Linked DNA regions of Mus musculus: regions 2, 3 and 4 are each reported to be linked to region 1. The links are microRNA targets in miRTarBase. Many come from high-throughput screens and were not tested one by one. Region 1 holds a microRNA gene; each other region holds the end of a gene's coding sequence.

What was found. Region 1 holds the annotated microRNA mmu-miR-717 (CUCAGACAGAGAUACCUUCUCU, at 1,091-1,112, opposite strand). A microRNA usually pairs through its seed, bases 2 to 8, with sites in the 3' UTR of a target mRNA and lowers its output. Matches are read on the target gene's strand: a 7mer-m8 pairs with bases 2 to 8, a 7mer-A1 pairs with bases 2 to 7 and ends in A, and an 8mer does both.
Region 2: the mRNA of Ogdh is a reported target of mmu-miR-717. The part of its 3' UTR that is shown has no 7-base or 8-base seed match.
Region 3: the mRNA of Nup133 is a reported target of mmu-miR-717. Seed matches in the 3' UTR shown: 8mer at 1,737-1,744 and 8mer at 1,322-1,329.
Region 4: the mRNA of Ifnar1 is a reported target of mmu-miR-717. Seed matches in the 3' UTR shown: 7mer-A1 at 1,235-1,241 and 8mer at 2,268-2,275.

The regions. Positions count from the first base shown.
Region 1 is chrX:52,421,371-52,424,370 of GRCm38, forward strand. Mir717 (microRNA 717) reads right to left here and starts at 1,145; the gene lies at 1,037-1,145. The region is part of intron 3 of Gpc3 (glypican 3); the gene reads right to left.
Region 2 is chr11:6,355,393-6,358,530 of GRCm38, reverse strand. It overlaps Ogdh (oxoglutarate (alpha-ketoglutarate) dehydrogenase (lipoamide)), which reads right to left. Exons shown (of 23, transcript NM_010956.4): 22 at 3,086-3,138; 23 at 1-2,977. The coding sequence ends at 2,857. Among named protein-coding and RNA genes, the nearest start is that of Zmiz2, 38 kb to the left of the region's middle.
Region 3 is chr8:123,896,780-123,899,917 of GRCm38, forward strand. Nup133 (nucleoporin 133) reads right to left here. Exons shown (of 26, transcript NM_172288.2): 26 at 344-2,731. The coding sequence ends at 2,595. Gm29773 (a long non-coding RNA gene) reads left to right here. Exons shown (of 3, transcript XR_879336.3): 3 at 2,271-2,357. Among named protein-coding and RNA genes, the nearest start is that of Gm29773, 3.6 kb to the left of the region's middle.
Region 4 is chr16:91,505,105-91,508,218 of GRCm38, forward strand. It overlaps Ifnar1 (interferon (alpha and beta) receptor 1), which reads left to right. Exons shown (of 11, transcript NM_010508.2): 11 at 1-3,114. The coding sequence ends at 307. Among named protein-coding and RNA genes, the nearest start is that of Mir6367, 21 kb to the right of the region's middle.

The sequences.
Region 1 (3,000 bases):
CCACTGTTTGCTGCAAACTATCTCTTCCAAGTATCTTTATGTAGTGTCTGTGTAGCTTGGATGCTACAGTGTCTCCACTCAGAGAAGTGAGCACTAGCAGTGATGGGAAATAAGTTACCCAGGTTCAATGTTGAGAATCTAGCCATTAGACCAAGAGATCACGCTCTTGCTTGGTTTTATTCTTGTAGTGCTAAGGATACATTTGAGTTCTCTAGGCTGAAAATGCTCTCTAGTAAAGCACCGCATTGCATTTGCAGGTGTTATCCAGCCCTCTCTGCCTTGCCCCATGGCAACTGAGGCTAGGGAATTAGACACAAATGCTGATCCTCTGGTTACCGCCATTGCTGTGAGAAATCAATGGTTCTGCCCTTAACTCATGCCTTTAACTGGCTTCCGTAAAATGGCAGTTGACCGACGTATTAGCTTGTAACTGAGGAGAAATCCCAGACTTTCCACAGTTGTTGAGAGCATATTCTCATCTTATCAGTTCATTGATCATGGAAAAGAGATTTAGAAACATATTCCCGAAGACAGCACGAAAGAGCAACTCTCATCATCACGCTGTCCCTCACCTAGGTGAAGGCAAACAATGCTAGATTTGCAGAGAGCCTATTTTATTGCCTAAAGTAATGTAAAATCTGCATGGTTACATCAGGATGAAACATTCAAAAGCTTTCTTCATATGATTAGTTTTGGAAAGTTCCTGTGAAATTAACACTCAATAGCGTCAATTCTTCCTTGTAGTCAGTCTTTCAATAATTAGGTCATCTATGTTTAACCTTTCTCAGGCTGAGACAGTAGGACCATATGTTCAGTGCCAGTCTGTGAAAGAATCCTCAAAACAGAACAAGAGACCAAATCACCACCTTTGTCCGATAGCAACCACTAACACTATTTTTATTGTGAATGTTAAAAAAAAAAAGATGACAGAATGTAAATTTTCTGTCATGTCTGAAACGAACCTCATTTGAATAATATTGCTTATTGCAGTTTCCGATGCTGGCCTGCAGACACTAATGAGGTACTGAGATAGTTGCTGGATTTATCACTTCTGAATCCCTTCGGAACGGAGAGCAGCTTCTATGAATTCAGAGAAGGTATCTCTGTCTGAGACTGAAAAATGACGGTACAGTGATAGCGGACAAGGAGAGAAGCTCGGACAAACTGACATCTGAGAAATGGCCTCAGCCTTCAAAGGCAGAGACGAAAGGTAAGGCTAATCTTGGAAATTCTGATGACTTACAGTCACTCACACAGACAGCAAAATGCACGAATTTGACAGTGAATTATTATTGCAGCTCAAAGGGAGAATCTGCCTCCAAGCTTCCTACCATCCATGATTAAATACTGACTGTATTGCTTCTTCAAACATTGTAGCCAAAGAAATGGGTGTGCCCAGATATTGGCATAGGTTAGGCTTTCAGTAGACAAAGTTACTACCTAAGGAAAGACCAAAGTAGACGTCTGAATATAATTCGATATTCAGGATAAATACCAGATAGCGTGAAAACTGTCTTTGAGGCTAGCTGGTGATTCAGCTCTGTGTCGGAGCAAACACTTAACATGCACAAGGCCCTGAGTTCCATCGCTGCAAAAACCAAGATGGCTCTCTGTTGTTCCAGTGGGTGGGGACTCAACAGTGCAAGTGGAATTTAATAGAGTTTTCAACATTGACAACACTAACAGGTAGAGCTTATACAAATATTCTCTTAGAAACTATTCTGTTCCTTTAAGTGTTAGGAATAGGAAAAGAGAAAAGGGGAAAAAAAACAACCTCATGTCTTTTAGTTCTTCATTGGGAAATAGTAGAGCAAGAGTCTCCATGGAGAGAGAATGAATTCAAAAATTGATTGTGCAGCTGGAAAAACAGTAGGGAGTAATACAGGATATTAAATAATATAATAAAAAACCAATTTAGGCTGTGTTTGGGGAACGAAGATTCTAGTGAATAGAGAATGGAAGTGTTTGAGAGAGCAATATAGAGTCATGGTAACAAGCAAGAACTTGGGAGTCAGACAGGCCCAGCTCTGAATCTGAGTTCTGAGACCTGCTGGCTTAGTGACCCCCTAAATGGAGCAAAAGAATCTTCTATGCTCAGCTTCCCTACCCTCTTGATGATGCTCAGTGTCCAGCACATGGCTTGCATGATGAAATGTGTAATAGACATTTGCAGAAACTCTTCCAGGGAGTTCCAAAGTGAGTCACAATGACAGAAGAAAGGGAGAAAGGGTGGTGATACAAAGAAATTTTGTACAACTTTCAGTGAAACGGTCTAAGTCAAGGTAGTAAAATTGTGGTCCAGGAAACCCTAACCCAGGGGCATGCTAAGGAGAGTCAGCAAAGTACACTAGCAAATATGGAAAAAGAAAACTGCCAGCAGCCAAGCAAGAGGGTAAGAGCGTGAACTTAATAGAGAGCAGGGTGGGTTAGGTGGGAGGAAAGGGAAGGGAGAAATGCTGTAATTAAATTACATTCTTGGAAATAAACAACAACAAAAGAGTATATGAGCAATTCTATTGTGGACTAAAGACAGTCAATGAGATTAGCTACAGAAAATTTTGGCAACTATTCTGGGAGAGGAATAAATGCCAGACATATAACAGATGAGTGAGTTGTACATGAAATACACATAATCTACATGTAGATATATGGTAATGGTAATCAAGGTGACTCTGAGACAAAAACTATAGATGTTTTAAATACGTTTTACAGGGGCTGTGAATGGTAGAGTGGTTGCCTAACATGTACACAAAGCTGGACTCCATTCTCTGTATTATGAAAAAAAAGAAGCCATGGTAATCAGCAGTGCTGAAAGTAAACACATTCTATATTTAGTTCGAGGTATAAAATGTGGAATTCAATAACATGCTGATCAAATTTTACCCAAGTACACTCAAAGGATCAGTGCTCACTTTGGGGTAAGATATGTAATCAATCCATTTGAAGATCGGATTGGAGCTATTATTATTAATACCTTTTGGAGGGAAATTTTCAGTACAG
Region 2 (3,138 bases), not on the chromosome of region 1:
GGTGCTCTTACCCACTGAGCCATCTCACCAGCCCGGGAAGGGCATTTCTGAAAGGAGATGAGATGGTAGACACAGGCAAAAAGGAAGGATGCCATAGGAGGGAAATGTAGGCAGGTGAGATGGAGGGTTAGCCAGGATAAGAGGAGGACAAAGAGACCAATAGGAACACCATGATATGCCTTTGTGTGTAATAGTGTCTTGACGTGTGTGTGTGTTGTGGTAGTTGTTAAAGGATTCAAGACTCCTTCATGGGGGTGTCAGTGCCTGGTATTAGAAGCTTGTCTAATAAGCCAGGCCTGTGGAGATAGCTGTCCCTGTGGACTTAACTAAGCTGGTGTAGTAGCACGTTGCTTTCTATTTTTTTTTTTTTAAAGATTTATTTATTTATTTATTATATGTAAAGTACACTGTAGCTGTCTTCAGATGCACCAGAAGAGGGCATCAGATCTCATTACGGGTGGTTGTGAGCCACCATGTGGTTGCTGGGATTTGAACTTAGTCGGGTGCTCTTACCCACTGAGCCATCTCACCAGCCCAACACGTTGCTTTCTAAATACCTATTTAAACCGTTAGACAAAAGAGGTGCCCAATTTTCATCAGAGAAGCATTTTCTTTTTTTTCTTTTTCTTTTTTTCGAGACAGGGTTTCTCTGTGTAGCCCTGGCTGTCCTTAAACTCAGAGATCCACCTGCCTCTGCCTCCCAAGTGCTGGGATCAAAGGCGCACGCCACCACGCCCGGCTGAGAAGCATCTTCTTACATTGAATGGTGGTGAATGAACACAGAAGGCAGATGCTTAGCTGCCCAAGATGCAGAAAACAAGTATCAAGATGTGGGTCCAGCCTTCACAACTTACTCATGCCATTGTCTTGAAGGCTCAGAACACTGCAGGAGGGGACAGAAAGCCCCAAATAGCTGGAAGTCAGGGGGAAGGTTACAAAATGACACCTCCTTAGGCTTGACACCTCCACTGCAGGCAACCATAGTTACCTGGCCCACACAAGACCAGTCAAGGAAGAGACTAGCTGCCTCCAAGGACCCTATCCTTCATACAGCTCTACCCTGTTTATTAAATCCCCCTTTCTACAAAGTATATGAATAATAAAAGTCAATTTGATTCTTGAAAGCAAAACAAAATTCAAAAACAAGTGTGGGTCCGTAATGGCCCAGGGCACTGGATACTTTAAACATGAGGGCTGCATGAACTGGCTCCCTCCCCCTCTGAACATGGCACCATAAACCTGGCTCCTCACCATCATCAACCCCAGTAGAATTTATTACCTGGCAGTTATCAGGCTTCACTTGTTTGACCTTATAAAGTGTTGCCCCTGAGCATGCAGATGAGGTATCTTCCAACACCCCTGCCCCGGCCAATGGTCCATGGCCATATAAATCCTGCCCCCCCATGAATGAACTAGCTCTCCTGTGGCGTTCCCAGGTGTACTGCTTATGGAGATCCTGTCCTGCACTCACCCACACCCCGCTAAGCTTCCCTTCCTCTAGTCCAGCTTTGTATGCAAAACAGCCTGGCTGTCCCAAGGGAGAAGGGGATACCAGACAGCAACATGCCGACCACAGGCAGATACAAACTTTGGTCCTGTGAGTCCCACCTCTGAGAGTAAGGGGCATTGTTCCTGTCCCAGGACATTCTCTCCTGGTGCCGACTGTAGTTATTAGACATGCCTAAAACCAAGATAATGGGTGGCAGGGGAAATGAGATGCTGAAGGCCCAGGCTGCGCTGTTGATAATGGCTGCTGCCCATGAGGGGGAACAGAAAGCTGTGGGGCACACATCCAGTTGGCAAATGGCAGCTGGGACCCCCCCACCCCAACAAGAAGACTGTTCTCAGGCAGGCAGGGAGGAGGCGGAACACACGACAGCAGGCAGGCTGGCCATGATAACTTAGTTTATGGGTCAAGCCGATGCAATGCAAAGGTGGTTGTTCTTTTTTCATTTCCTTTTTTTTTTTTAACCAAAATAAATAAATCAGGTGTGTCCCAGTGGAGGTCAAAAGAGGGAGGAAGGACAGCTGGCTCCTTGGGACAACTTGCTCTTATCCACTGATCTGCTTTTGACCTGCCTTGGCACAGCAAAAAAAAGAATTCGTCAACAGCTTCTGTGTGTTCAAGGGAACAACAGAGAAAATGAAGTGACTGGGGAGGGGTCAGGAGAGCAGAGGCAGCAGGACCAAGAGGCAGCAGTGCCTGGCGTTGGGAGCCAATGGAGCTTCTGGGCCGTACTCAGAGCCAAGCTCTCCAGGCGTGGTAGCTGGGGTAAGTTTCCCACATACAGCCCAAACCCAAGAAGGGTAGCAGGGCTAGACTAACATCACTGCTAAAGTCCTCTAAATACCCCATGACAATCTCTATTCACACAACATCCTGATGACTCCCAAATCCTGGCAGCTATAGTTCCTCCATGAGCTCTCAGCTTGGCCCTAGCAAGATGAAACTACTCCTGGCCTTGAATCTGCGACTTGATGGGTGACGAGGGCTGAGTGCTAGTACCCTGGGAAGCCACATAGGGTTCTGTTCCTACCCTGGAGGATTGCACTGGGGGCATGGGTGGGGCCAGAGCTGCCTTCCTTCTCTAGGATGTCCTGAGAGGGGCCCTTTCCTTATTCTGCTCCTTCCGGTCTCCATGAACGGTGTGCAGCCTGAGAGAAGTCGGCACAGGCTGGGCAGCATGTGACCGGGGAGCAGCTGAGCACTGCAGTGGACAACTTAATTCCTATGAGAACAGGGGTGGTGTGGCACAGCGAAGGGACGTGTGGACAGTGCTGAGGCACTATTCTTTAGTTGAGAAGCAAAGAGCGTCATGGACATGGGGGCCATGGCCTCATCAACTCCAGGAGCATCTAAGAGAATTTCTTGAATGCGTCCAGGTCAAAGGCTGTGTCCAGAAAGCGCTGCAGCTCTGTCAGGTGTGTTTTCTTGTTGCCAGTGGCTGGAGCAGCTGCCGGGTCTCGGCCAGCATACCTGAGAGAAACAGAGAGGGGGAGTGACAAGGATGAAGTCAGAGGTGGCTCCTGCCTGTTCTCTAGCTTGCTTCCAGATCTTCCAGGCCATCAAGGACTTGGGTCTTACCAGACAGGCTTAGCACGGTCAATGGTGGTACGAAGTCTTGGCTTGACATAGTC
Region 3 (3,138 bases), not on the chromosome of region 1:
TTGCCCCTTTACCCCTCACATCCTGTAAGTCCTTGCGGTATCTACCAGAAGCAAACAGGACAACTAACAGGCAGCACGGCAATCCCTCAGTCCTGTTGCAGCCTAGGCTTGTATTAGCATCAGTCTGTCTTTCCCTAGTGAGCAGCAGCACAGGTCGGCTCTACCCTTTCAACTCTTGCAGCAGCAGTTCTGGAACCTCAGAGCCTGACAGGGAAGGCACGCGTGTCACAGGACAGGACAGGACAGGAGAGGGAGCTGGTCCCCTCTCCACTCACACTGGGGACTGAATTCGGGCTGGGCGGCCGAGCGTAAGGAGCTGGTTCTTACAAGTGAAAAGCAGACAAAAAGAAAACCTCGTTTTTATTAAGGCAATGCAGATGCATGCAAGGACCTGCCATCCCAGCAGGAGAAGGAAAACTGGAGCTCCTCTGAGAACAGAAGTCCAAAGGTGTGCTAAGTACTCACCATTGCCCACACAATACAAAAGGTGGTCGACTGAAGCTCATTTCAAAACAGAAGCCCAGCTTCCAGGTCCACCAGTTACTTGTGTTTATTTTGGATATGAGCTCAATGTCAGGCTTCACACGCCTTAAAAAAATTGTTCTAGCCAGGGCTGGTGTGTACACTTGCAGTTTTAGGACTTGGGAAGCTGAGGCACAGGGGCTGAGAGTTTGAGGCCAGCCAGAGTTTATATGCACATATCATACACATATGATAAATATATACAACATATATACACATTGTTTTTCAACATATATTGTATTTTATACATGAATATTATGCCATTCTGAGGACAGACTGGCAGTGGTGGGGGAGGCCACACTGGGAACACTCAGAATGTGGGACCAACCATGACAGCCCGAAACACCATGAATTTGTCTTGCAGACCTCTGGCTCTCCCCATAGCATCCAGTCAAGAGAATAAAACAACAAAACCTTTCCCCCTGTGCTCTGTACAGGTTGCCAGGGCCCTTTCAGGTCCTGACTGACTCACACATCCTCAGAATACAGCACACTCACCTCAGGGACAAGGGTGGCTGCTGCCATTCACAGTCCTAACTAGTTCATGCTGAACTAACGGATAGGCCAACAAGAGAAGGATCCCAAGAATGTACACCGGGTACCAGGAGACAGTCTTAGCTACCTGACTTAGAAACAAATCATTCATTCTTCAGAGATGGATTATGTGACCAGTTTTTAAAACTTAGGAGGGAAAGATATTCAACACTGAAAGTCTTAATTTCATTTTTACTGCTGGAGTAAGTTTACATGCCAACCATTCTGAAGCTGCGATAGTTGCCATAAAGGTTTAGCCCCCTTCTTCAGACAGGTAGGCCATGGCCAGAGCTCTCAGAGCAACATCTCTGGGTAGACCAGCCTTGGCATTACGATGTTTAGGAAGGGACCGTCTACGGTGAGACTAGAAACCATCCTAGGTTTATGAGTCAATACTGGGGTCACAGACAATGCCAGTACCATATCTGGTAGCAATGACAACTTACTGACAGCTCAGAAAGCCACACAAACATCTTACTAAAACACTTTAAGACTTATCCATTATTGATGGATGCAGTGGCCCACACTTTTAATCCTTTAATTTTACACACACACACACACACACACACACACACACACACACACACACACACATATATATATGGCTTTTTTGGCTTTTAAGTTTTAACTTTTTTTTTAAAAAAGATTTATTTTATATATGTGAGTACACTGTCACTGTCTTCAGACACACCAGAAGAGGGCCCTGGGACCTATTACAGATGGTAGTGAGCCACCATGTGGTTGCTGGGAATTGAATTCAAGTCCTCTGGAAGAGTAGACAGCGCTCTTAACCACTGAGCCATCTCTCCAGCCCTGCCCCTTGCTTGTAATTTTTAAATCAATGTAGGAAGTGAGAACATTCCCAGTGAGTTACCAGCTGCCCACCCTCCCGAGTTAGACCCAGGGTTTTGGTTTCTAGGCCACAGTATAAATCAGTGACATCTCATCTTCACTTTGCTAAGCAGGCACTTCCCTTTGCCTCCGACCAAGAGATCAGCTTCTCAGAGACTCCCAGAGTGCCACATGCAGAGGGCAATCTGTTTTCCCCGTCCCCTGCCATCTCCAACACTTCCTCACTTCCGCTGCCCTGCTCTCCAACCTGTAGCATCTTTTAATTGCTGACCCAAATAAACAGACACACTTGCTCAGCCCATAGAACGTTACTTGCATGTAAATTCATGTATATTATTATACACATTCTTATATTTTTTCAGGGCTGGTATTGGACAACCAGTTGGGGAGCGAGGCAACCTGTTTTGTTTTGCTGCCTCTTTGGACCGAGGGAGGCTGGAGAAGGGCAGCTACACAGAAGCAAGGGTGACTTCAGGTGGAAGAGGAGGAGGAAATACCTTACAGCTGAAAAAGAGCATCAGGGCCCCTCCTTTTATATCGCGGCTCCCATATAAAGCATAGAAAACCTGGTTGCTGCAGACAAAACAGACTTCAGGTTGATCCAGACCTAAGTTTTTTGGCCTCAATATTTTTTTTTAATAAGCAAATATTTACACAAATTTTAGAAACAACCATTTCTACAAATGTCACATCTGTCCTTGGACATAATACTCATAATTTGCTTTCAGAACAAACTCAAAGTAAGAGTTGGACTTGAGGCTTCCCAGCTGCTCTGCTCGCAGTAGGTCCGTCACCTCTGGCAAGTACTCGCTGAGCTGGATGCCTGCAAACAGAAGACACGGTCACTTCTGACGGCTGAAACTCCTCCGCACATGAGCAGTACAGCAGCCAGTACTGCTAAGTCACTGAGCGAACATGCCCACACTGCAGCCTCCTCCCATTCAGAGCCCTCAGGGGAATGGCAGCCTCTTCAGAGCCTCAGAGCCCTGCAGGTTCCTATTGGTCAGAGCAGATGCTCCAGAGGAAATCTTCAGTAGAATCTGAAATTTTTTTTTCCCTACAGTTTAAGACATTTCTTCAATGTGTAAGTTTTCAACTAATAGTCATTTCTATGTTGCCCTAATGGGGGAATAATTTAATAGAAACACTGTCACAAAGCTGGCCACAGGACTGCAAGGGTGTTAAAACTTAACCAGGGTGCCTGTCCTTCCAGCACTCGGGATGCTGAAG
Region 4 (3,114 bases), not on the chromosome of region 1:
GCACACGGAAAGATGCTTCATCATTGAGAATACAGACACGGTCGCTGTAGAAGTAAAGCACGCGCCTGAGGAGGACCTCAGGAAGTACAGCTCACAGACCAGCCAGGACTCGGGCAACTATTCCAACGAAGAGGAGGAGAGTGTGGGCACCGAGAGCGGCCAAGCTGTGCTCTCCAAAGCTCCCTGCGGGGGGCCATGCAGCGTGCCTAGCCCTCCTGGGACCTTGGAAGACGGGACCTGCTTCCTGGGAAATGAAAAATATCTTCAGAGCCCAGCCCTGAGGACAGAGCCAGCTCTTCTCTGCTGACAGGTGCTCGGCCCAGGCTGGGGGCCGTGTGGAGGAGACAGACTTATCTGAAGTGGCTGCCAGCTTCTGCTGCCAGCTGGAAGCCCTGGGTGCTGTTTGTGCCACAGATGAGGCTCACTGATGTCAGGCATCTGGTGGTTCTGTCTCGGTGTTTGTCCTCTAGGTGACATTTAGAACATTCCGATTTTTAATCCTGCCGTAGCCCCTCAGTGTGTCACAGGTACCATTGTCTACAGCCGCGCTTCCTAACCCATACCTCACCACAGCCGTGGCTTCTGACCAGAAGTCACTGAAACCATGGAGAAAGGGGACACTAACTGGAGGAGCTGGCGTTGTTTAAGATCTCAGTGTGGCCTGGGTGTGCCCGTTGTACTCTAGTACTTGCAGAACTAGAAAATGCCAGGGACAAAAAGCAGGCATGAACCATTCAGTAAGAGAGAAGCTAGTGAACCTGATGGTGAAAGAAGACCGTGTCCAGTCAGTGTTTGTGTGAAGGCCCTGTGCTGCTCTCTGTAGCCTTCCCGTGGTACTTATAAAACCAGGCCGAACCCTGTCCTCTGTCCGGCACTATTCAGGTCCCTTCCCAGCTCCAGGTACTTAAAAAACAAAGTGTTGGGTCCTGGGGTGAGGGAACAGCTTCGACGGCACAGTGCTGCCTGCAGGCGCCTATAAGTGACCTTAGATGAATGCTCCATGAGCATCTTCGGTAGGCAGGACATCCAGCAGTGCTGGTGGCTCCAGGGCAGACTCAGTTGCAGGCCAAAAAGGAAGAGAGAGGAGTCATAGCCCTGCCCCAATCGAGCTTGTTGCTCGCTGCACTGCGCCTTTGTAATCAATCTTGGTTTTTTTGTTTTGTTTTGTTTTTTTTAACTTTTAGGTGATAACATATTCTCAGATATAGCACACAAGAGACACTACACAAATTACGTCTGAAAGTTTTGATAGAAAAGAGCTTTTGACTGGGGTAGACAGCTTGCTCCTCACTACTACCTTGTATCTCAGTCTCCTCAACAGAGAGAGAATGCAGATTGATTTTCATCCTGAGTTTTATTTTCTTGCCCGGTTTCTGGGTTCGGGTGTGCTTTCAAGGCTCTGAACAGCTTGTCTGCCCACAGGGGAGCCCGGAGACCCAGCCTTTTGGCTAAATGTTGCAGGTTCCTGTACTTGAAGGACTCCAGCTCCTCTGTAGAGGGCATGGTCATCGCGGTCTGCAATCACGCTGATACCCAGAAAAATGGCCACACAACTCAAATCTGGTGCCACGCTTTAATAATTCTACCCAGCACGGCCCAGCCCTGTTCACGGCGGAAAAGCTCCTTCTGCCAGGACAGCCTGTGAAGAAACAAGACCTCCGAGGACGTGGCCAAGGAAGGCCCAGATGCTAGCGGGAAGTTGTTAGTTGGCACTCTTTCATCTCTCAACAACTGTGACACAGGTCTTCAGGGTGAAGCCCAAAGCAGCTATCGGTTGCAGCAGCGGGTAAGGAGGGGGCTTCACCTGAGCCTGGCCTTCTGGGCGAGCAGTTCTACCTGCACACTTCAAGACAGCCTCCATGACCCTTTTCACGGCACACCGCCTGCTTTTGGTGTGACCGGGGTTTCCTGTGCAGGCACATGTTCTTAAGGAATGCCATGCACACAGGCCTGAAGAGCTGGCTCAGCGGGTAGAGCACAGGTTGCTCTTGTCTGGGATCTGAGCTCTGTCCCCAGCACCCACAGAGTGCTTCTGGTTGCCTCAGACTCCAGGGGTGCACAAGGCCATGTAAGCAAAGACATGTAAGCAAAGACAGTTGTACACAGAGAAGTCAAACCTTTTTGAAAAAAAGAAACACCACGGGCTGGAGAGATGGCTCAGTGGTTAAGAACACTGACCACTCTTCCAGAGGTCCTGAGTTCAATTCCCAGCAACCACATGGTGGCTCACAACCATCTGTAATAGGATCTGATGCCCCCTTCTGGTGTGTCTGAAGATAGCTACAGTGTATTCATATATAAAATAATAAATACATCCTTTTTTTTCTTTTTTTACTATTGGATATTTTCTTTATTTACATTTCAAATGTTATCCCCTTTCCTGATTTACCCCCCTCCCAGAAGCCCCCTATCCCATCCCCCCTCCCCTGCTTCTATGAGGGTGTTCACCCACCCACCCACTCCCACTTCCCTGCCCTTGATTCCCCTACACTGGGTTATTTATCAAGCCATCATAGGACCAAAGACCTCTCCTTCCATTGATCCATGACAAAGCCATCCTCTGCAACATATGCAGCTTGAGCTATGTGTACTTCTTGGTTGATGGCATAGTCCCTGGGAGTTCTGGGGCAGTGGGGGGTTGGGGGGAGTCTGGTTAGTTGATATTATTCTTCCTATTGGGGTTGCAAACCCCTTCAATGCCTTCAGTCCCTTCTCTAACTCCTCTATTAGGGACCCCGAGCTCAGTCCAGTGGTTGGCTGCTAACATCCACCTCTGTATTTGTAAGGCTCTGGCAGGGCCTCTCAAGAGACAGCCATATCAGGCTCCTTTCAGCATGTACTTCTTGGCACCCACAACAGTGTCTGGTTTGGTAACGCTGTACGGCATGAATTCCGAGGTGGGACAATCTATGGGTGGCCTTTCATTCAGTCTCTGCTCTACACTTTATCTCCATATTTGCTCCAGTGAGTATTTTGTTCTCCTTCTAAGAAGGACAGAAGCACCCACACTTTGCTCGTCCTTCTTATTGAGCTTCATGTGGTCTGTGAATTGTATCCTGGTTATTTGGAGCTTTGGGGCTAGTATCCACTTATCAGTGAGTACATATTGTGTGT